3 linked regions of the Arabidopsis thaliana genome follow. The protein of the gene in region 3 interacts with the protein of the main gene of each other region in a pairwise test. Each region holds a gene or a part of one and is shown on either strand. Other genes may lie near its edges.

The links.
Region 1: the proteins of TOPP7 (region 3) and AT3G53670 interact in a two-hybrid assay, tested with the Arabidopsis thaliana proteins (one large-scale study listed by BioGRID).
Region 2: the proteins of TOPP7 (region 3) and AT5G13310 interact in a two-hybrid assay, tested with the Arabidopsis thaliana proteins (one large-scale study listed by BioGRID).

What each region holds. Positions count from the first base shown.
Region 1 is NC_003074.8:19,887,757-19,894,457, forward strand, and holds AT3G53670 (uncharacterized protein), read left to right. Parts: upstream 1-2,607; 5' UTR 2,608-3,063; exon of another isoform or gene 3,064-3,167; 5' UTR 3,168-3,248; intron 3,249-3,335; 5' UTR 3,336-3,347; coding exon 3,348-3,635; intron 3,636-4,134; coding exon 4,135-4,458; 3' UTR 4,459-4,687; downstream 4,688-6,701. Other genes in the region: AT3G53640 (Protein kinase superfamily protein), read right to left, coding at 1-1,179; AT3G53650 (Histone superfamily protein), read left to right, coding at 1,602-2,018; AT3G53680 (Acyl-CoA N-acyltransferase with RING/FYVE/PHD-type zinc finger domain-containing protein), read right to left, coding at 5,107-5,208, 5,349-5,489, 5,586-5,679, 5,774-5,830, 5,928-5,989, 6,126-6,371, 6,447-6,503, 6,591-6,648.
Region 2 is NC_003076.8:4,260,861-4,267,977, forward strand, and holds AT5G13310 (uncharacterized protein), read left to right. Parts: upstream 1-2,629; 5' UTR 2,630-2,700; coding exon 2,701-3,057; intron 3,058-3,373; coding exon 3,374-4,129; 3' UTR 4,130-4,221; exon of another isoform or gene 4,222-4,783; 3' UTR 4,784-5,092; downstream 5,093-7,117. Other genes in the region: SFC (ARF GTPase-activating protein), read right to left, coding at 158-258, 373-449, 1,114-1,158.
Region 3 is NC_003075.7:6,844,448-6,851,074, forward strand, and holds TOPP7 (Calcineurin-like metallo-phosphoesterase superfamily protein), read left to right. Parts: upstream 1-2,664; 5' UTR 2,665-2,885; coding exon 2,886-3,063; intron 3,064-3,535; coding exon 3,536-4,095; intron 4,096-4,271; coding exon 4,272-4,484; intron 4,485-4,567; coding exon 4,568-4,585; 3' UTR 4,586-4,870; downstream 4,871-6,627. Other genes in the region: AT4G11230 (Riboflavin synthase-like superfamily protein), read right to left, coding at 112-157, 253-418, 510-1,140; AGL52 (AGAMOUS-like 52), read left to right, coding at 5,131-6,120. UniProt on the Arabidopsis thaliana protein: Serine/threonine-protein phosphatase that possesses phosphatase activity toward para-nitrophenyl phosphate (pNPP) in vitro.

The sequences.
Region 1 (6,701 bases), on a different chromosome or scaffold from region 3:
AAGAAGACGGACGCAGTGGTGCTTATTCTCTGGGTCAGAGCAAACTAGCTTCTTCAATATCCGAATCTCAGCCTGGCCAGCCTTATGCATTGTCTCATTTTTCCGAATAATTTTTATAGCCACTTCCTCAGGTTCACCTAGCTCAGGTTTTGTGTCTTTTGCACGCACCACGGTAGAGAATACACCTTTCCCATGAGTAGCCATGATTTCATATCTATCATCAAGTAGTTCACCAAGCTGATAACTGTAATAACCTTCTGCATCATCCCAATTATCATTGAGTCCACTCCTTACAAAAGGAACAAGTGCATTCCCTTTCCGAGTACCATCAGCTAGAGGAGACTCCCCAAAGATATCATCACTGAACATGTCACTCTTTGGGCTGCCTGCGGAAGCTAGTGTCATATCTGAGTCTGATATCACAAGCCGTGCAGGTGTTTCCCCAACTGCTGAAGATAGCTTGGCGACTTCACCATCTACGGCCTCAGTATCCAACCCAGCTTTAGCTTGAACATCTGCCACAGTAGAGGACTGCTCCAACTTTTTCTTATATTTCTCCAATATGGCTTGCGTAATCCTCTTGCTTTCCTCGATTCTTTTCATCTCTGCAGCTTCTTGTTCTTCAACTCCCCAAACAACATCTTCACCGTCATCATCATTATCAACTTCAGACCTTTCAACGTTGCCCTGAGTTTCACCGTTAGGTTTATGGCTTTTTAAAGAATCTAAGTCATCTTCTGCATCATGCCTAACTTCCCCATATCCATCACCACCACTTTTATAGATCTCCTGATCACTCTGGTCTTCTCTTCTTCCTCTATCCCTATCTTGATCCTTACGTCTCTCTCTTTCATTCTCCCTCCCAGTCTCTCTACTACTAGACCTAGCTTTATCTCTACTACTCCTACCTCTGTAGTTGTCTCTATTGCTTTCTCTATCAATGCTTCCCTTCTTCTTCAAATTCTCCCCTTCCTCCAAATCAAGTTCACCATCGTTACCAGGATTCCCCAAAAATGGATAAACATTCTTTTCATTGCCGTCCTCATCAAGATGATGACTGTGTCGATGCTTGTGATGATGGTGCTTGTGCCGCTTGGAAGATTTAACGACTTCGTCGGAAGGAGAATACGACCTACGGTGTTTGCGGTGGCTTGATTCTACTATCTTATCGCTCACCATCAGATCGTCGGAAAAGATAGACAATCGCAAAATTAGGGTTAGGGTTCGATTTTCTCCCGCGCTCTCTCTGTCTCCGTGAACAACAGACTTCCATTAAAAAAATTCACATTATATAAAAATTACAGTCGGCATCGGCAAATTAAAAGGAAATCAGAATCGTCTATTTAAAAAAACAAAGGGCCCAGGCCCATTAATAATAAATGATTAAGAGGATAGAGCCATCATGTCCGTTGATTATTCGAAACCTTTCCGATGGATGGATGACACGTCATCGATCCGCAAGAAACTCGGGTAACCAATGAAAGCCAGCAGAAGCCTCTATATAAACAAATGTCTCCTCAGTTTTTCCATCAGACGCATCTTTCAATTGTCAAGTGATTGTATTTAACCACAATTTCTTCTCATCTCTAAAGTCAGCATCAATGGCTCCGAAAGCGGCAGAGAAGAAACCGGCTGGGAAGAAGCCAGCAGAAAAAGCTCCGGCAGAGAAATTACCAAAGGCGGAGAAGAAGATCACCAAGGAAGGTGGAAGCGAAAAGAAGAAGAAGAAATCGAAGAAGAACATCGAGACGTACAAGATCTACATCTTCAAGGTTCTGAAACAAGTTCATCCTGATATCGGAATCTCCGGGAAAGCGATGGGGATCATGAACAGTTTCATCAACGACATCTTCGAGAAACTAGCTCAGGAATCATCGCGATTGGCTAGGTACAACAAGAAACCGACGATCACTTCTCGGGAAATTCAGACGGCGGTGAGACTTGTGTTGCCTGGAGAGCTCTCGAAACACGCTGTTTCTGAAGGCACTAAGGCGGTTACTAAATTCACTAGCTCGTAGGGTTTATATCTCTTAATTCTCTTTCCGCCTTTCGAATCGTTTAGGTGTTATCGCTTTCTTCTACATCTTTGGTGGTAAATCTTTGAATGAAAAGTTTCCTTTGTTAATGAATATCGTTTTCTTCATAAGAACAAAAAATTATTTGATCGGTGATCAATATCTTCTTCCGTTTCTGAGGGTTTTTTGGCCTTTTTTTCTATCCATAACTCTTTTGGTTCTTCACGATTCCACTAATTTGGTGGGGAGCAACACTAGTTATATTTTGCAGAGATTTGTGGGCACAATGGTAAATCATATACTTGAGTAATTATGTTAAAGAATGTTTCACTTTAACAAAATCATACTGATCCATTTGGTTTTATCTTAATCCCTTGATTTAATCACTTCATGGTGATTTCTAACTGTGTTTAGTGATGACGATGTTGATGATTGATGTTTAAGGTTTTCACTTTTCAGTGAACAAACGTTACAACTGGGCCTATTTATCATTCGTGACCCATTTTTTCCCTCGTGATCGGGCTCTAGCGGGAAAAATTCAGACACATAAAATAAGAGTATTAAACACGAGACACGTGTATATTTCTGATTCGCTCCGAGTAAGGTGGCCACGTCTTCGTCTCCCTAGTTGACCTTTCTTTGCATTTCTATCTTAATATAAAAAAAACTCGTTTGATCCATCCGTCTTCTCTCAGATTAGCTTTTTAACATCTTGGCTGGGTTTCGTGTGATTTCGTTTTGGATATGGTTGTTCGGATTCTTGTTACCATGATTCGGCTATAGTGTTTGTCGCCTCTGATTGTCTCAAGCATCGTTCTTTACTGATTTTTAGATAGCTCTGAGATCTGTCTCTGCGATTCGTCGGATTTGAATTCGTTTTTTTTTTTGGGTAGCTCTTGGATTTCTTCTTCTAGGGTTTCCAAGAGGATAGAGAAAATGCGGGTGTCCTCTGAGATACTCCTTCTTTCTTTGGTTCCGGCGTTGACTTTTTATCATTCTGGTTTAAGTTCTAATCGTTTGAAACCTCTTCAAAAGAGTGATTGGCGTGGTAATCTTAGTTAAACAACAATTTCTCTGTTTTTTTGTTTCTCCGATCTCTTCAGATCTTTTCAATTTTCTCTTCGGTTTGGTTTGTTTTCACGCATTTCCTAGCTCGGAGTAAGCTAATCGAAGAAAACAAGCTTGTTATTGATCGATCTTTCGGTTTTTGTTTTGACGTTTTGTGTGAACGAGGTAATTTGGCTATATGATTTTTTGGCTAAAGTGTTGTTTGAGCTAGAGTTCTCTTGTTAATGGTATTTGAATTTGTGTTTGTTGCAGTTACTTTTGGATATGAGCTCTGTCTGTGGTGGGTTGGATTTCAAAGATGCAGAGAGCAGCTCTGCTTCCAGTCCCATTATATGTTCTACTGGCGTAAAGCATATCTCTTGTGTTGGATCTGATGATGCTCAAGAGTCTGATGGTGATGATAGTGGTTATATACACCAAACTGTGATTGAAGAATCCAAAGACAAGGCGATCAGCGAACCCATCCCTGAGTCTTTACCTCTCAATTCTTTGGATGATGAAAGTGAAGATAAGAACCTTGCTACTGCATTGCAAGACATGTTCTCTGAGAGTGTAAGTGACCCTATCTTATTTCATAACACTGGTCGCTATCTTTATAGTTGTTGCGTTTTTTCTGTTCTATTGTCTTTTGTTCTTTCTCCTGTTTAGAATACGGTGTGGTCTGTGCTGATGTCAAGTTTCTATCTTTGATCACATATATAATTGAACTTAGATGTTTTGCGTAGCTCTAGGCTTGTGATCGTGGCTGTTTCAATCATATGTCGGTAGTTGCTTACAACATCTAGAACCAACCTTTTAGTCTTTAGTGGTAGATATACAAGAATGCGAAGGAGTAACATTACAAATCATCCCTGGCCAAAGCAAGAACATAGCTTAGGTTTTATGATCCATGAAATAATACAAATCCTTAGATTTTGGCTGTGTGATATATATATATATCAATGTTTGGTGCTTATAAATATCTTTTCTGTTTATGATATATGTAGTAGAGAAATGCTGTGTTTATGTTGGCTGCTTCTGATTTTTGTTGTTTTTTGTAATCCAACAACAGATGAGTGTGGTTACTCTGATTCCTGCCATTAAAGGTGGTCGAGAGAAGCATGGCAAGTCACTCGAGAAGCTCAGTGTGTCATGGGCTGAAGATGTGTATGATCCTCCTCCCTCCATTGTCTCTCACACAAGAAGCAAGAAACAGCAACCGCAGAAATCAAAGAGCAAAGACAACCTGAAGAAGAATGGAAAGAAAGGACAAAAGGGAAGCAGCAATTCCCGCAGCAGCAAAGACAAGAAGCAGATTTCTTCACGCAGCAGCAAATACAGTCGTGATAAGTTTGATTGGACAACACAAATGTCTGTTCTAGCTGCATCTTCTTGAATCTGTGTGGTATGACCAAGGCTCTTGCGTCTTCCTTGCTCTTGTCTCTCTCTCTCTCTCTTTCTTGTTTATAAATAAAAGATTTGAAGTGAAAACTTTTCTCGAGTTTCAGAACGACTATTGTTGTTGGTACGGAATTGATTTTGTTTTTACTCAATTTACCACTTTTATTGTGAAGTTTTTCCCTCTCTACTTGTTCCTTTATCTATAATATAGCTGATAATTTTGCAAAAAGTTGATACTGCTAATTTAGTAGAGCAAATTGGATCGTAGTTCGTAGATTTCAACCCTTAATTTGATGGAAAGTGCACAAGAAATAATATATCAGTTCAAGCAAAACCATACACAGTACAGAAAGGAACAACATTAGTATTATATGCCGACGACTTTACTATATTTGCTTCTTTTTACTTCTTTCCTTTACAAAATATTTCACTAGATCTGAAACCTCTCCTGTGTCAACTCTAAATTCTAATATCGTCTTTGTTAAGGGCTTGTACAAAAAATAACAGAGGTACACAAGAAATGATCCTTCTGCAAAAAGAAAACAAAGAGTGGGTTTAAAAGGGGCAAGAGAGCAAAAAAAGGAAAGATCCCAAATCCCAAAATCCGGATGAAGCTTCAAAAAATCTTCCATGAAAGATGATATCAGATGATTGAAGTTGATTCTGAAAAACTCGGTACTTTCTTCTCGAGCATCGATGTTCCCTTGAAGATTGTTAGTTGCACTTCTCTCTGGTACCTCTGTAACTGTAAACACAAACACCATTGTTAATCCTCTTTTAACCATTTTTGTAACCAGACTGCGCAACCATTAAAGATTTGATCAAGTCAAAAGATTAATCATGAAAGCATTTGCCAGGAAATGTCCCAGGCCAAACTTTACGTACTCGATGTTCAGTCATCTTTGTGAATCCAAATTTATTTGTCCAGATAGACTCAGCTTCTTCAGCTGCTGGGAGAAGCAAGTTCTCAACATTCAGAGAGGAAAGAAGATTCTCAACGCAAGCAAACAGCCCTTGAAAGTAGCCCTATAGAACCATTAAACAAATTGGTTTTGTCACAAGTTATAAAACAAACAAGCGAATCCGACACAGCAAAGAAACATGGGATGTACAAAAGCTTACCCTTCCCTGATACTCTCGGCTTGTAGCTACAATAGGAAGTTCTGCAACTTTCTGACCAAATATCCTAAGCAGCGCGGCAGAAACAACTAGGGAACTAAAAACGCAGCAAAAAACATTTAGAAAGATTGAGAGATGGTAAAACAACAATACAGAGAGAAAGATAAATGCATCAAGAACACCAGACATACTTCACCATCAGGACCAAGCAGTACATTCCTCCAAACTCCTGGCCAGATATGTTTCTCCTGCAAACATGTTGGAAGAATTACCAGGATGATCAATTACTATTAACATTTGAATGAAAAAGGAACTTGAATCTGAGTTTATCATAGTACAGCTTACCCATAGACCATGACAGGAATGAGATCACGACCAGACTTTGCCACAATGGGATCAAAACACTCCTGAAAAGTAAACTCATTTGCTATACATGTGTTTATAAAATAAATTCGCTGTACAATGTACATGTGTGTAAGAAATAAATTTACAAGCCAGATAAAACTCAAAATGATGTGAGCACATTTATAAATTGAGGCATACCCTGAAAATAGTAGCTGCTCGTGAAAGTAAGGGTAGATGCTCTGGGTATCGACTTTTTCCACTAAGCATCCTCCACTCCACAGTATTTCCATTGTCAATATATATTCCTTTTTCTCTGTACTTTCTGCTTATCGTGTCTAACAAAAGCGTGGGAATAGTTTGTGGCCCACATGAAGCAGAGCTTTGAAGAACCCTGTGAATCCTGCTGCAGTCACTACAGCAGAACCATTTATCTTGGGGGATTCCCTACAGCAATCAGGAAAGAAATGAGACAGGTTTAATGAACATGTGAACACAGACCACCTATATTACATGACTTACTTTCAAATCACAAAGCTCATTTTCCCTGAGACAACCGACGTGGTACTCTTTCTCGCACTTCAAGAGCAAAGAGGAAAAATGACCATTAGACAAGAAAGACGTGGGTAAAGAAAATCTGGAATAAGAAACCAGAAACAACAATACCTGGTCACAGAGAATAACTGTCCTATCATCAAATTTCCCAATGCTAAAATCATGCGACCTATCAGAAATGGGGGATAATGAATAAGCAGAGTGGAGTACAAGTATATTCGC
Region 2 (7,117 bases), on a different chromosome or scaffold from region 3:
CCCTCATAATTTAAGGCCACTATCAGTATTTAGTGCTTAAAAACGAAATTATGAATTCTAAAATGGAAAGTGCCAAAGAATCTCAGATGAAAACTGCAAAGATTATGGGAATAAACAGACAATATGCTACTGCGAGTTTCCATATAATCGGTCATACCTCCAAAAGCCACACTTATTGGATCATTATGGCCTCCACCAAATGTTTCAAGTGCACTTGCGAAAGCAATGTCCCCATCGTATGCCTCGCCTAGTCCTTCACTGTAAAAAGAAAGAATAATCTATCGCTGTTAAAAGATACATGTTTCAGCCAGAAGAAAACTCTAAATGTAGAGCTACAATCCTAATTAGCTGTGAAAATTTGAACTAGCATACGTGTATTTCCGGCATCCTTTGTAAAACTTGAGACTTCTTTCCCGCAATATTTCTGCGCTCTCCTCCATGCTTTGTAACTATTTAAGAAAAAGATATCAATGTAAGAACGCAGCTGCGGAAGGAAAAATACATAAACGCAAAGAAAACAGTAAAGACACAATCCAATTATGGAAGAAACTGCAACTATGGATAACCCCAAAGATTGAGTGATTCAGGCACTCTATATAGGGGCAAAAGAATCATCAACTTCAGGCAAACAGAGCAGTTGTTGGACAGAATTTGAGCTACACTAGGAACTTCCTTAGCATTTAAGTTGAGTTAGATAGCAGAAGTCCTACTAAACCAGTGAGCATGAAAGTAGTAGCTAAGTGGACACAAATGTATCCTAAACACACGAATCAGAGACCCAAACAAGTGCACTGGATCATAAGTCATTTCACATTTCATGGAGCAACAAGTTAAAGCGCGAATAGGCCGTCCAGATAAACCAATTTCTTAGTGACACATTAATTCGAACCTTCCAGTGAAGTTCCACTCACATTTTGGAATATAAATGTCGGTGGACATTCAAAATTCCAGACACAACACATCCTAATGGCTCCAAAATTAGTATCTGTTGACAACTTTTGAAGAACAAATCTCGCCTAATATGACCCAATTTTAACCTACGACACTAAAAGACTGGACACATCAAGACAAGCACACATAGACAGGAACCAAAGATATGTAGTAGAAACAAACCTGTTTGCGGAACATGGGAGAGTCATCAAGCTTAGTGAAATGCATTTTGAGCTAATTTATTACTTCCTCTTCTTCGACACAAACAGCAATTAACATAACACGAACACACACACCAAAAACCTAAAAGCTAGAACCACCACTATGTCTCACACAGACGCCATAAACGAACAAAAACGTGAGATCCTCTCCTCCCAAAGCTTCCCCGAAATATCCAACAGAAACAGAAACCGATGATCTTCAAAGTCTCGAGCCAAGCGTAATTTTGAGCTGGTGTTTTTTTCTCGCGAAATCGAGAGAGAACAAAACAAGAAAACAGTGGGGGTGTGTTTTTTAGATGAAGTGTCTCGGGAGAAGAGAAGAGACAGACAAATCAAAGAAAGGAAGAAAAAAAACTTCACCGTCTTTGTGAAAATTTTAACCACAAAAGACGGCGAAACTATGCCGTTTTAGTTACCGCCGGAGATCGTGAAGGTTGGTAAGATACGACGTCGTTTCAAGTGTAAATTTTTTAAAGAGAGGACTGACTGTGCTTTTTCTGTAACAGTGGTCATCTGAGAAAACAAGGACTCTGGCTAAAATCCACTATATCCACGCGCCTTTAAAGCCCGTGTAGTATTAAAGAGGCTGGAAATTAGGAGGCGCGTGTAGTAAACGCGATTCTCTCGAGAGTATTAATAGAGAGGGGAGAGTGGGACCCGTTATCTGGTTGCTTCTCCATTATCTTTTGTTCCGGAGAGACAGAGAGGCCAGTGGGGTATAAATGATTCCTTTTAAGACATGTTTATTTTATTTTATATGAAAATATCTTTAAATATAAAAAATTGAACACTTATGATTACTTTCTTTTGGAAAAAAATTGTTAAAGCAAAAAGAAAAGTGGGAGAAATTTGGAAAAAATGGACACGATGATCTTACTTTCTTTTGCAGACTTTACAGTCGCATATGATTATTAAAATACATTTTCTTGGTTTCAAAATCCTTATTGTTTAATGAAATGTATGATCTCTTGAGTCTTGTCCAGCTAGTTCAATATTGTTTAATCATAACGATAATCGTCTTAAATCTAGGTTAAGATCTTTGTTCAACTGGTAAAACTAAGACATCTGCAATTAAAAACATAATAATGAACATTATGTATTACTATTAACCAACATTTAATATGGTCTTCTAATCAGATTTTCTCACATCAATTTTCTTTCATCTTTCTCACAACATTTATCGTATGTTTTCTCTCTCAAATGATTTCCGACATATGGCTATCAATCTAATGTAACTTAGATCTCTCTTTTCCTTTTTAGACTGTCGCATCTTTCATTTCCTTATTGACCTCAAACGGCCTACGGATACTAAAATCCACTTTAGCACACAACCAAAAAAAAATTAAAAACTGTATAGAGGTAACAGTGACTAGTAGGCCGATATTGGGCCAAGAAGTAGGAAATTCCATTAAGCCAGGCCCATTATAAAATGCCCATTTAAAATTTGTTTTGTTATAGGATCACACGAAAGGCGGTCTATTATTTTGTTCGTTCTTCGTTTATTCACAGCAATCGATTTGTGTGTGTTTCAATTTCTAATAGCTTCACAATGGCATCGTCTGGATCAGCCGACGAAGATTTCCAGTCTCGCGTTGCGAAGATCTTCGGATCTCTACCCTTCTCTCGTCCTTCGTCTTCCAAGTTTTCCACGTCGTCTTCTGCTCCGGCGTCGCGGCAGCAATCGGGGTCGGTGTGGACTCTCTCCGACACAGAGGTAGAGAAGCGGGAGTGGAAGCGAGATTCGTACGATAGAGACGAGATTCCTTGTGCTTCATCCTTTGACGAGCTCTTAAAACAGCAGAAGCCTTCCGAGGATGATCTCAAAGATATTGATTGCGGCGAGGATTTTGATGGTGTGTGGAGTATCAGAGCCTCCATGGGCCTTGATCGCACTCTCGATGACGAGGTAAATCAATTTTGGTCTCTTAACGATTGTTTCTCATTGCTTAGCTAATTGAAATTAGGGAACAGTGTTGGTCTTTTCTCTTGGATTTGGTAGATTCATATGAGAAGAGCATTGAATTTTTAATGTAGTATCATATTGGTTTGTGTGACTTATAGAGTTTTTGTACGTGAATCATCAACCTATGTAACCAGCTTTAAGATTCTTGAATTTGAGTTTTTCTTGCTATAACTATATGTAGCACATACCGTATTATGAATAGGATGTCACTTTCTTTGATGCTGAGTGTTGTTTCCATGAATTATGCTTCTTAACACAGGCAGAGGAAGATGAGTATGATAAAGTTGCACTAGGGGAAGAGAATGACGGTGAAGGCTGTGGGCGGATTCGGGATCCTCGTGCTAACTATGTTGCTGCAAGAATTAGGCTGAAGGAAGATGAAATTGAGGCTAACAAGTTTAATACTTCTGCAAGTCAACCTTCGGAAAGCAAAGAGCCACACGCAGAAGAATCATCCGAAGCTATGCCGCGAAAACCTATACTCAAAAGGAAGGAGAATAGTTCAGATTCAGAAGCAAGGACAAGTAAGCGAGTCAGGTTTGATTCTGTGCCTGAAGAAACATTGAAGAAGCCTGAAGATACTTGTTCAGCTTCTGCCTCGTCAAAAATCGTATCTCATCAGGGAAAAAGTGGTGCTCGGGTACCGGATTACTTGCTAAATCCTTCGAGTTACACCCGTTACAGCTTTGATCCATCTTGTGAATTGGATGTGGAGTCCCCAACAGGAGAGTACATGGACACTCCCAATGCTGTTGAAGGATTGAAAAATCCAGAGTCAGAATCATTTCCAAAAGTCTCCTTTATTCCGCAGAATAAGACCAAGGACGTAAGTGAAGACAGTAGTAACTGTAATGAGACGAAGCCTATCGTAGCTGGAGAGTTGGCAGAAGAAGAGAGACCAAGTGCAACAGAAGATGGGGATACTGAAATACGAGAATCAGAGAGCTGCACCAGTTTCCAAAGCAAAGGTCGTCAATATCGTGCCAAGCTTAGTTTAGATGAAACAGATGTCTGATCTTTCACATACCAGTTTGGTTGGAAAACGCTACACAGAGATGAAGTTGGGGTCCATGAGATACAATCATGTAGCATCTTTTAGCCGCACATGTAAGATATTTTTAATTCCTAGACTTCTTTTTTACCCAATTTAGAGACTGTATTACAGCGAATGTATGGTAACATAGTAAGAAACTGTTTACCTTTGAGACTGGTTGATAGTACACGCAGAAGAGAATCTAAAGCTACCTCAACTTCCTGGAAGCTATCTTGATAGATTCCAGTGATGTTGCCACAAGTTTTGATTCAACACTAGTGAATCGTTTCTGGGAAGATTCCAGGGTTAAAGAAAGACATGGTTTTGAGCAAGCAATTTATAATTATGAGCAGGTGAAAGTCTGTTGATCTGAGAAAGAAGGAAACACCTCTTCTTATTTTCTTTTTGATTCAATTCATCAAGTTTAGTATGACTGCAGATTAATCAAATCATGGATTCCAATTGTTTGCGTTAAAGATTTTTGCTTAAAGCAAAGCTGTCGTTAATTGAGCAATTGCTTAGGGTTGTTCCTTCAGTTCGTGAATCTGTTTTTACGGGTTTTCAGCTTATGGTTTCATCAAAAGACCACTCGTTGTTGCAGTGTTTTTTAAACATTACACATGTCTTTCCTGACAGGAGGAGAAAGTTCTAATCCGAAGACAAGACTGGTGTGAAAATTTCTGGTTTGTTTTAGATGAGATGCATATATGTATGTATGAACGAAAACAGAGAAAAAAAATGGGAGGGACGGACACAATACTGCTGTTGTTGAGCCTTAAACGGCTTTGACAAGCTGTCTTTTTTCCTTAATACTGTATGTGTGCATAACTCATATACCACATTCATCATTTTGTGTAACTTGCTTAAAGATCCATTCCATGGATAGCTCTCTTAACTATGGCCTCTTGTTTCTGCGTACGGATGCATTTATAAAATGTTGTTTTTTCATTTCGCTAATTTGACATTTATGGTAGATACGTGTGTTTTTGGAAGGACACACCAAAATACTAGTAGACGAAGACACCAAACCCCACTTGGTGTGCATATCAAAGTCAGAAGATGGAGACTACTTGGAAGTTTATTTGATCAAAACTCGTGTTTGACGTTGTAGCTTATTAAGAAATGACTTTTAACTCTCAAGGTTTACCTGGAACATCGTTTTCTTTTTCCAGCGAATTTCTGGGCAAATATCCCTCCAGGCCCACACTTCATAAGCTCCATTAAATTATAAGTTTTTAATTTTATGTCAAACCCAAACCGTTTTGGTTGTCTTTAATCCGTTAAGAAATTTCAGGGCAACTAGAAGCAATCCATAAATATTATTACGATTACAAAATTTGCTTAAGAGGATTAATCAAAATATTTTTGTGAAAAATATTTCAAATATTAACTTTCATTACAAATAAAGGATTTTTACCCCCCAAAAAAAAAATAAAGTACTTTTATAATTAAACCAAAATATTATAATTACCTAATTATAAATGAATATTTTATGATTATCTTACATAAAAGATCGATGTTTACAAAACAAATCATTTTCAAAAGAAAAATAAGTACATTAAATAATAAGATCCCCTTTGATTTATGGTTTATTTAGAAAGTCAAAACGCGAAAATGTTCGAAAATATTATAAAGCCATTTATTCAGTAGATGTAATGTCTTATACGGCCCGAGAAGCGGATGCGTTCCGCGTAGCAATTGCTCGGGCTTGCATGGACGCTACTTAAATCGACACGATTCATACTATATTGTCTGTCAAATCGATAGCTCGTGGGACGTATCAGATTCATTAAGAGGCGATGGATGGCTTGTCCTTTCTCGCTAGAATATTGCCCTCCTCGGGTTAAAGAGCTACCACAGATAAATGTCACCCTACACACATAGTTCGAATATCTCTTTTGGGCAATAAAATGTCATATTTTGTCCTCTTTAGCTAGTGTGATTTTTGAGACATAATTGTAAAGATTTAATTAAGCTAATTGGCGTTCTAGATGAATGGTCATCCTTTGGTATTTAAGTAAGAAAATTCAAACTTTTAAAAATTTGATTTTTTTTTTTTCTTTGAATTATTTTTTTCTAGTTTGTACTAGTTTTTCTAGGCGATTTTTTTTAAAAAAAATCAATGGATGAATTTGTTTTGTTGCAAAATAAATAAATAAAAAAAAAAAAATATATGTAGTAGGGTTGCTGGAAAGATTATCATAAAATTAAATATTTAACAGTTTATGGAGAAAGAAGATAAAGAACGGAAGAGATTAACAAGAAAATAGTTTTGGTTTTTCCTTTTAGGGCATTTGTATCAATTGAAGACGAATGACAATGTTTGGTTTGGTTTGGTTTGGTAGAAGTAAAAAAACATATAGTACCGTTGGGCAGGATAAGACTAGACTACGATTGGAGCTTAAGCGAGAACCATATATAATATATCAGTGATACCATTGGATCGTACTATTGTCTTTGCTGTTGTATTATTGATCTTTATTTTTGGTTTTGTTTTTGTTTAATGCAATTTCAAAAATTTCCAAATCCTTTGTAATTAAATTGAGTGTACCAATCTGGAGAAAAGATACGAGACTCTGTTGCAGGTGAGTCTAAAGTCTCTTGCGTTCAATTTCATGTTCTTTTCTAATATTGAAACTTCGTTTGTAATTTCTAGTCTCCATCACTTTCATCACACGACTCACTCAACTAAATAAATAGTTTTTGTTGACTCCCATTGTAGAGTCTTTTGTGGTCTTTGTTGTTTATGAATTTAACTATATTTTTAATCATTTTCTTAATATTTATATTTGACTCGCAGCGTAGAGTCTTGTTGTGGTCTGGTCTTTGTGTATGAGTTTTATTTTTCTTGCGCGAAAGTTTTAACTTGTTTCGGAAGTACCAAATTTTGCAGAAGTTCCTTGTGGATTTCTCTGCGTTTTCCTGACTTCTCATGATTCATGAAACAGACACCAAAAGAAGAATAAAAAA
Region 3 (6,627 bases):
ACAATACTAAAACATATAAAGATAATGGGACTCATGTAAGATTCATTAGTCAATGCTGATTAGAATACTAAACAAAGAAGATCGAACAAAAGTAAAAAAAAAAAAAAAAACCTCTTTTACTTCATTCTCTGTGATTCTACCATCTCCATTTTTAACCCTGCAAGTTTCAAAAAGTGAAAAAACAAATCAAGAACTTTAGCTACATGTTGATCAATATGTTTAACAAGATTTGATGATAATTGATAACAATACATGTTGAAGAAGATTTGAAGACGAGAATCGAAGCTTTCGTCTGTAATTTGGTACCAAAACTCGTATAATTCTTGAAGATTGATCTTATCAACCATTATTCTTCTTCTCCTACACAATGCGTCGAACAACTCGTCTGCAAACTCTTTGGAATTTTCATTCTCCAAACCTTTCAAACACAGAACAACAAAATTTACAATCTCTATCGATTCTCCAGAGTCAAACTCAATTTCAAAACTGTGAAAATCATTATGTCGAACCTATGCAATGAGCAAAATCACTTTTGAAAAGATAACCATCTTTAGAAAGATGAGCGAAATTGTTTTGAACATCGTTCCAATCAACGATTCCATTTTCTTTGCTGCTTATGAATTTCAAACCATGAATCGCTCTCTCTGTACCCGATCCATCCCGATTAGGTCTAGTTGGTCGCTGAGATAAAGCTCGAGGGAGATTAACCGAATCGGTAATTTCGCCTCTGTGTGGAACCACCGGTTCCGGTGCAGACCGAGACGAATAACCGTAACCACGCCGTGAGATCTTCTGGATCTGCTGCTTTGAGTTCGTCCCCGCCGTCAGTCTCTCCGACGACGCGCTCCATCCTAAGCTAAGCGACCTTGATCCTGAACCGGAATCCGAGCAAGAGGTGATCTCTAGATCGGTACCTGAAATATCGGTGCCGGTTCCGGTAACGGAGTCGATGTTTATTATTACGCCGCTTGGGAATTCGATTGTTACTTCTAGGAGCTCTTCGCCGGAGGAGGAGGAGGAGGAGGGTGAGGGTGAGTATGTTGCTGGTAAGGATGGAAAGCTTTGGGTGAATTCTCCGGCGGAAGCTAAATCGGAGCCCCAACGATCGTTGTGAGTCCCGCCGGAAAATGACATTGACATTTTGAATTTGTTGGGAGGAGAGGAGAGAAGCCAAGGAGGGAGAAGACTGAATAAATACAGTTTTTGAATTTTGTGTTTATTATAAAATTTGTCTTTTGTACTAATCAAAGGAACGACCAGAGGAAATTACCAAAGCAGAACGAAAATATAAAAATAAGTTTGGTTTCTAAAAATACGGTTTTAAATTATACTATATTTACGAGTTACGACACAAAAAATTATACTATATTTTTGTGCATGTTTTAGGTACACTTTAATTATACTTAACTCGCTGTTGTTGTGAAATTATATATTTTTTTAAAAAAATTTAATTTGTTTAGCATATTAAAAATATATATGATTTAATGTTTTGAATTTTTATATATTAATTAATGTATAATTATTATATTTGATTTTTATTCTTTAAAATATAAAAACAATAAAATACAATTCATTTGGTTAAAATCTATATCACAACTAAATAATTTGAATTTGAATTGTATTTGTTTTGTTTAGTGTTTAAAACTAGAGGTATCAAAATGTCTCAACTCAACTCAATCCATGAACCCTAATGAGTTGAAAATTTTGACTCAAATGAGTTAATGGGTCAAATGAGTTGATGAGTTAATTGGTTTGATGAGTAAAATGAGTTGGGTTGTAATGGTTAATGGTTTCAATGGTTTACCCAATTAACACATCAAGTTTTGTAAAATTGAATTAAACTAATTAAAATCTCTAAACCAATGTCAATTTAAGTTTAACCAACACATCTAAACCAATTTAATAAATCATTATTTTTCCAAATTTCTTAAATATATAAGCGATAAAATTGAGAAAAAGTAAACTCGTAAATTTTTTTTTAAAAAACATAAACCCGTGATTTTTCCGCCAAAAATAAAAACATGTGATTAAAACTAATAACCGAAACAAAGTTTGGAAGATAAACCGACAATAAGTCGGAGATAGATACGAACGAAGACGAAAAGCTAAAACATAAAACGAAATCTAAAGCCCGATGTTAATCGGATTAGCAAAAGATAGTAACAAGATTCAAAGTTTTTTATCTCTAAAAGATTTGAGAGAATTAAGAGAGAAAAAAACTTATATGACACAAATACATTTAAGATTGTATTTTGGTGAGCAATTTAAACCAAAATAACATAATTCTCATAATACATTCAACACATACATTAAGGAGGGTCAACATTATCGAATCGAGATCCACCCAAATTAATTTTATAACCTAACCGGTATAGTAATTTGCCTTGTATATAAAGTTTTTGGAACCAACCCATTTAACTAAATTCACAAAATATAATAATTTAAATTTAAGTATATTAAAACTATAATATGAATTAAAATTAGTTAGTTATCTTTATTTTTATTATAAGTTTTTGTCCAAAACCGATCCTAACCTAAATTGAACCAAATGAAACCACATAACTGGATGCAGACTAATCAACAACAATCGCACGTGCGTCTGAGAACTTGTCACGTGACCACTCCGCTCCTTTCTTTGGCTTCGAGTTTTGGATGATGAAAAATAATTATTACCGCGTTTATTATAAAAGTTTCTAGGGTTTACGAAATTTGGGTCTCTCTCCCTCTCTCTACTTAACGCTCTCTGTATCTTCTTCTCCGTCAACGATACGAACCCAGAGACGTCGGCGGTTAAAACAATCGTCGGATCTCTCTGGATTCGTTAGACGAGAAGTTTCCGGTATCTAATTTCTGTGCGTTAGAGAGAAATTAGGGTTGTTGCTACGATGGATGAGACTTTACTTGACGATATAATACGACGGCTTTTGGCGACGAATAATGGAAGGACGGTGAAGCAAGCACAGATTACTGAGACGGAGATACGTCAGCTATGTTTAGCTTCAAAAGAGGTTTTTCTCAGTCAGCCTAATCTCCTCGAGCTCGAGGCTCCTATCAAGATTTGCGGTAATGTTACTGAATAGAGAAATGTTTCTCTCTGTTTACTTTATCTTGAATTCGTTTTTGTGTTGTGGGTTTTTGATCAATTTTACATTTTTTGATGTAAGGGTTTAGCTTTGTAAGTTTGTTGTTTGGGAAGCTTAAAGCTTAGATTTTTGGGATATAAGTGTACATTGAAATGGTTGAAGATGTGTATGTTGTGAATTAGTTAAATGCTCTGCCACTTTAAGTTAGTGTTTCTTGCGGAATTGTGAGTAGTGACCTCTTACTTTTGTGTCTTTGAGGAACCATGGTCCCTTAGCTCTGTTGCATAAGCAGTTGTTGGTATCTCGCTTGACTTATTACTTCATTTGATAGCTAATAGTTTTGTTTAGTTGCTGAATTTGGTGTATGATAGATATTAAACCCTTCTGTTGCTATCATAACTGTATGATTTGTAATTTTGTTGATGGTTTTAAGTTTATATGTTGATGAGCAGGAGATGTTCATGGTCAGTTTCCAGACCTCTTGCGGTTGTTTGAGTATGGTGGTTATCCACCAGCTGCGAACTACTTGTTTCTTGGGGATTATGTTGATCGTGGTAAGCAGAGCATAGAGACGATATGCCTTCTTCTTGCCTATAAGGTCAAATACAAGTTCAACTTCTTTCTTCTCAGAGGCAATCACGAATGTGCTTCAATCAACCGTGTATATGGATTCTACGATGAATGCAAAAGAAGATATAATGTTCGCTTATGGAAAACATTCACCGAGTGCTTCAACTGTCTGCCTGTTTCTGCTCTCATTGATGATAAGATCCTCTGCATGCATGGTGGACTATCGCCTGATATTAAGAGCTTAGATGACATCAGGAGAATTCCTCGTCCTATTGACGTTCCTGATCAGGGCATTCTTTGTGATTTGTTGTGGGCTGATCCTGACAGAGAGATTCAAGGCTGGGGGGAGAATGACAGAGGTGTCTCTTATACATTTGGGGCTGACAAAGTAGCTGAGTTCCTTCAAACTCATGACCTTGATCTTATATGCCGAGCTCATCAGGTAAAGCTAAAATTTATTCCTTGAGTTCTCTCTTTTGATTTCTCTGGATTGGTTTGTTCTTCTCTGTGACTGTTCTCTGAATTCAGAGGGTTAAGAAATCATAACTCAGTTGTTAATGCAAGGATCTGTAGTTTTTTCACCAAGCCAAGTTTTACTTAACTATACTGTTCCTGCAGGTTGTAGAAGATGGATACGAGTTCTTTGCAAAGAGACAACTAGTGACAATATTCTCTGCACCCAATTACTGTGGCGAGTTTGACAATGCTGGTGCATTGATGAGTGTTGATGATAGCTTAACATGTTCATTCCAAATCCTTAAGGCATCTGAGAAGAAAGGAAGATTTGGATTCAACAACAATGTTCCTAGACCAGGAACCCCACCTCATAAGGTGTGAAAATACTATCCCCCTGTATATAGATGCAATGTAGGTAGATGTTAGATATCAGGTTTGATATGTTAACATTCTTGCAGGGTGGAAAAGGTCGTTAACTCGTCGTCGATGGGTTCAAGAAACGAGTGAAACCGACGGGTTCGAATTTTGTAAGGCAAACAGTTTGTTTTGTTAGATTGTTATCTGTTTTCTTATGGTTGAGGCAACATTATGTTTTGTTTAGATTTTTTTTGTAAAAATTGTGGAAGATGTTCACAGCATTTTCAACTGAAGAAAGTTGGGTTTTATACAACTAACCTTTTAGAAACATATTCTAAAAACATAAACGTAAAATTTATAAAAATAATAAAATGAAACTTGAAAAACAATTATCTTATTTGACGTAATATATACTATAAGCTAAATAATAAGAGAAGAGGTAACCTAGATTTGAGGATAGATACTGCTTTTATCTTCTTCACGCGTCGCCGACGCGTATGCTTGTTCCCGTAGGCACCAAGGCAATCTATATAAACATATTGAGTGAAGTTTCACAATCTTTCACCATCAATTCCACAATTCTGCTTCTTCTTTGTGTGTTATCTCTCTGTCGGAGAAAAAAAAAACCCTAGTTTCTTGCTTGGCGAATCAAGGCAAAATCACGATGAAGCAAGCTTCTTCTTCTTCGTCATGTAATCCAACAAGTTTAACAAACAGACTTAAAACAATCTTTAAGAAAGCAGAAGAGCTTTCGATTCTCTGTGCTATTGACGTTTGCGTCATCTATTACGGACCAGACGGTGATCTGAGAACATGGCCTAAGGATAGAGAGACAGTGAAAAATATGGCTTTGAGGTATAAAGAGGACAGAAAACGCAAGAAGTGCCTCAATCTTCATGAGTTCCTCGAGAAAGAGAAGGTGAAGGACAAAGACAAGTATAAGGGGAAGACGAATTATGTGAAGAACCCTAATTGGTATCCAAACTTTGATCATTACTCTCCTCAACAACTCTCTCAATTGATTCAGTCCTTAGAACGAACACTTTCTACTCTCCAAAAAAGGCTTCGTATTGTTGAGTCGCAGAAAAAACAGAACACAAACTTGGTGCATCAGAGTTTAACACCATCGTATCTGAACCAGACACAACACTTGGATCCTAGCAAGTTCTCGCTGTATATGTACAACCATGGAGATGCTACTCTCTCACAACTCCCACTGTCTGCTTCACAATCCAATCAACTCATCAATTACCAGATGCAGCATGGTTTTGGTCAGAACATGTGTTTGGACAACATCACCAACAACAACAACTTTCAACATCCTGGCGTGTCAAACACACAAGACTACTCACCGTTACTTTCGGCGAATAACTACGGGTTGAATAATCACTTGATGCAGCAACAGGATCAGCTTCATGGTTTTGATCAGAACTTGTGTATGATGAGTGAAATCATCAATAACAACAACGGTTTACAACATCCTAATCTCTCAAACACTGTTCCACATGAATTCCCTTATGGTAACACTAGCTTCTCTCAAGATATGTTTTCGAGCTATGATGGGAGCAGTTTGCTACAGACATCTTCTCTGCCACCTCTCCACAACATTCCTAACAGCTATTGTTTTTCTGACAACTCAAGACTTCTCTGCTAACAAATCTGTCCAAAAGGATTTGTTTTTTGAAGCTTCATTAAGAGTCAGTCAATACTTATAAGTAGGAAGCTGATCAGAGAGAGATTGAAGCTGTTTTTGCTTCTGAATTCTTCCTGCTACTGTCTTTTTTTATTTTACAGTGTTGTTATAACTGTAAAACAGATCCATTTGTGGAGATTTTGTTTTTACTTTTAAGTTGGTATTTCAGTTAGTATTATATATATATATATATATATATATATGAACTTCCATAAAAGTCTTTCACAAAAACTTGCATGAAACAAATTATAATCTAAAATCACTTATGGTGACAAGACTGTTTCAATTGGTTGATACAACCTGCAAAGTGAAATCCTTTACTCTTGCATCTTATAACAAACTTGTAACTTAGTATCCTTCTTGTCTGAATCAGCTAATATATACATGAAGATGGAAAGTAGCTCTGATTTCGTGAAGACAAATTCTCTGCACCCAATTACTGTGGCGAGTTTGACAATGCTGGTGCAT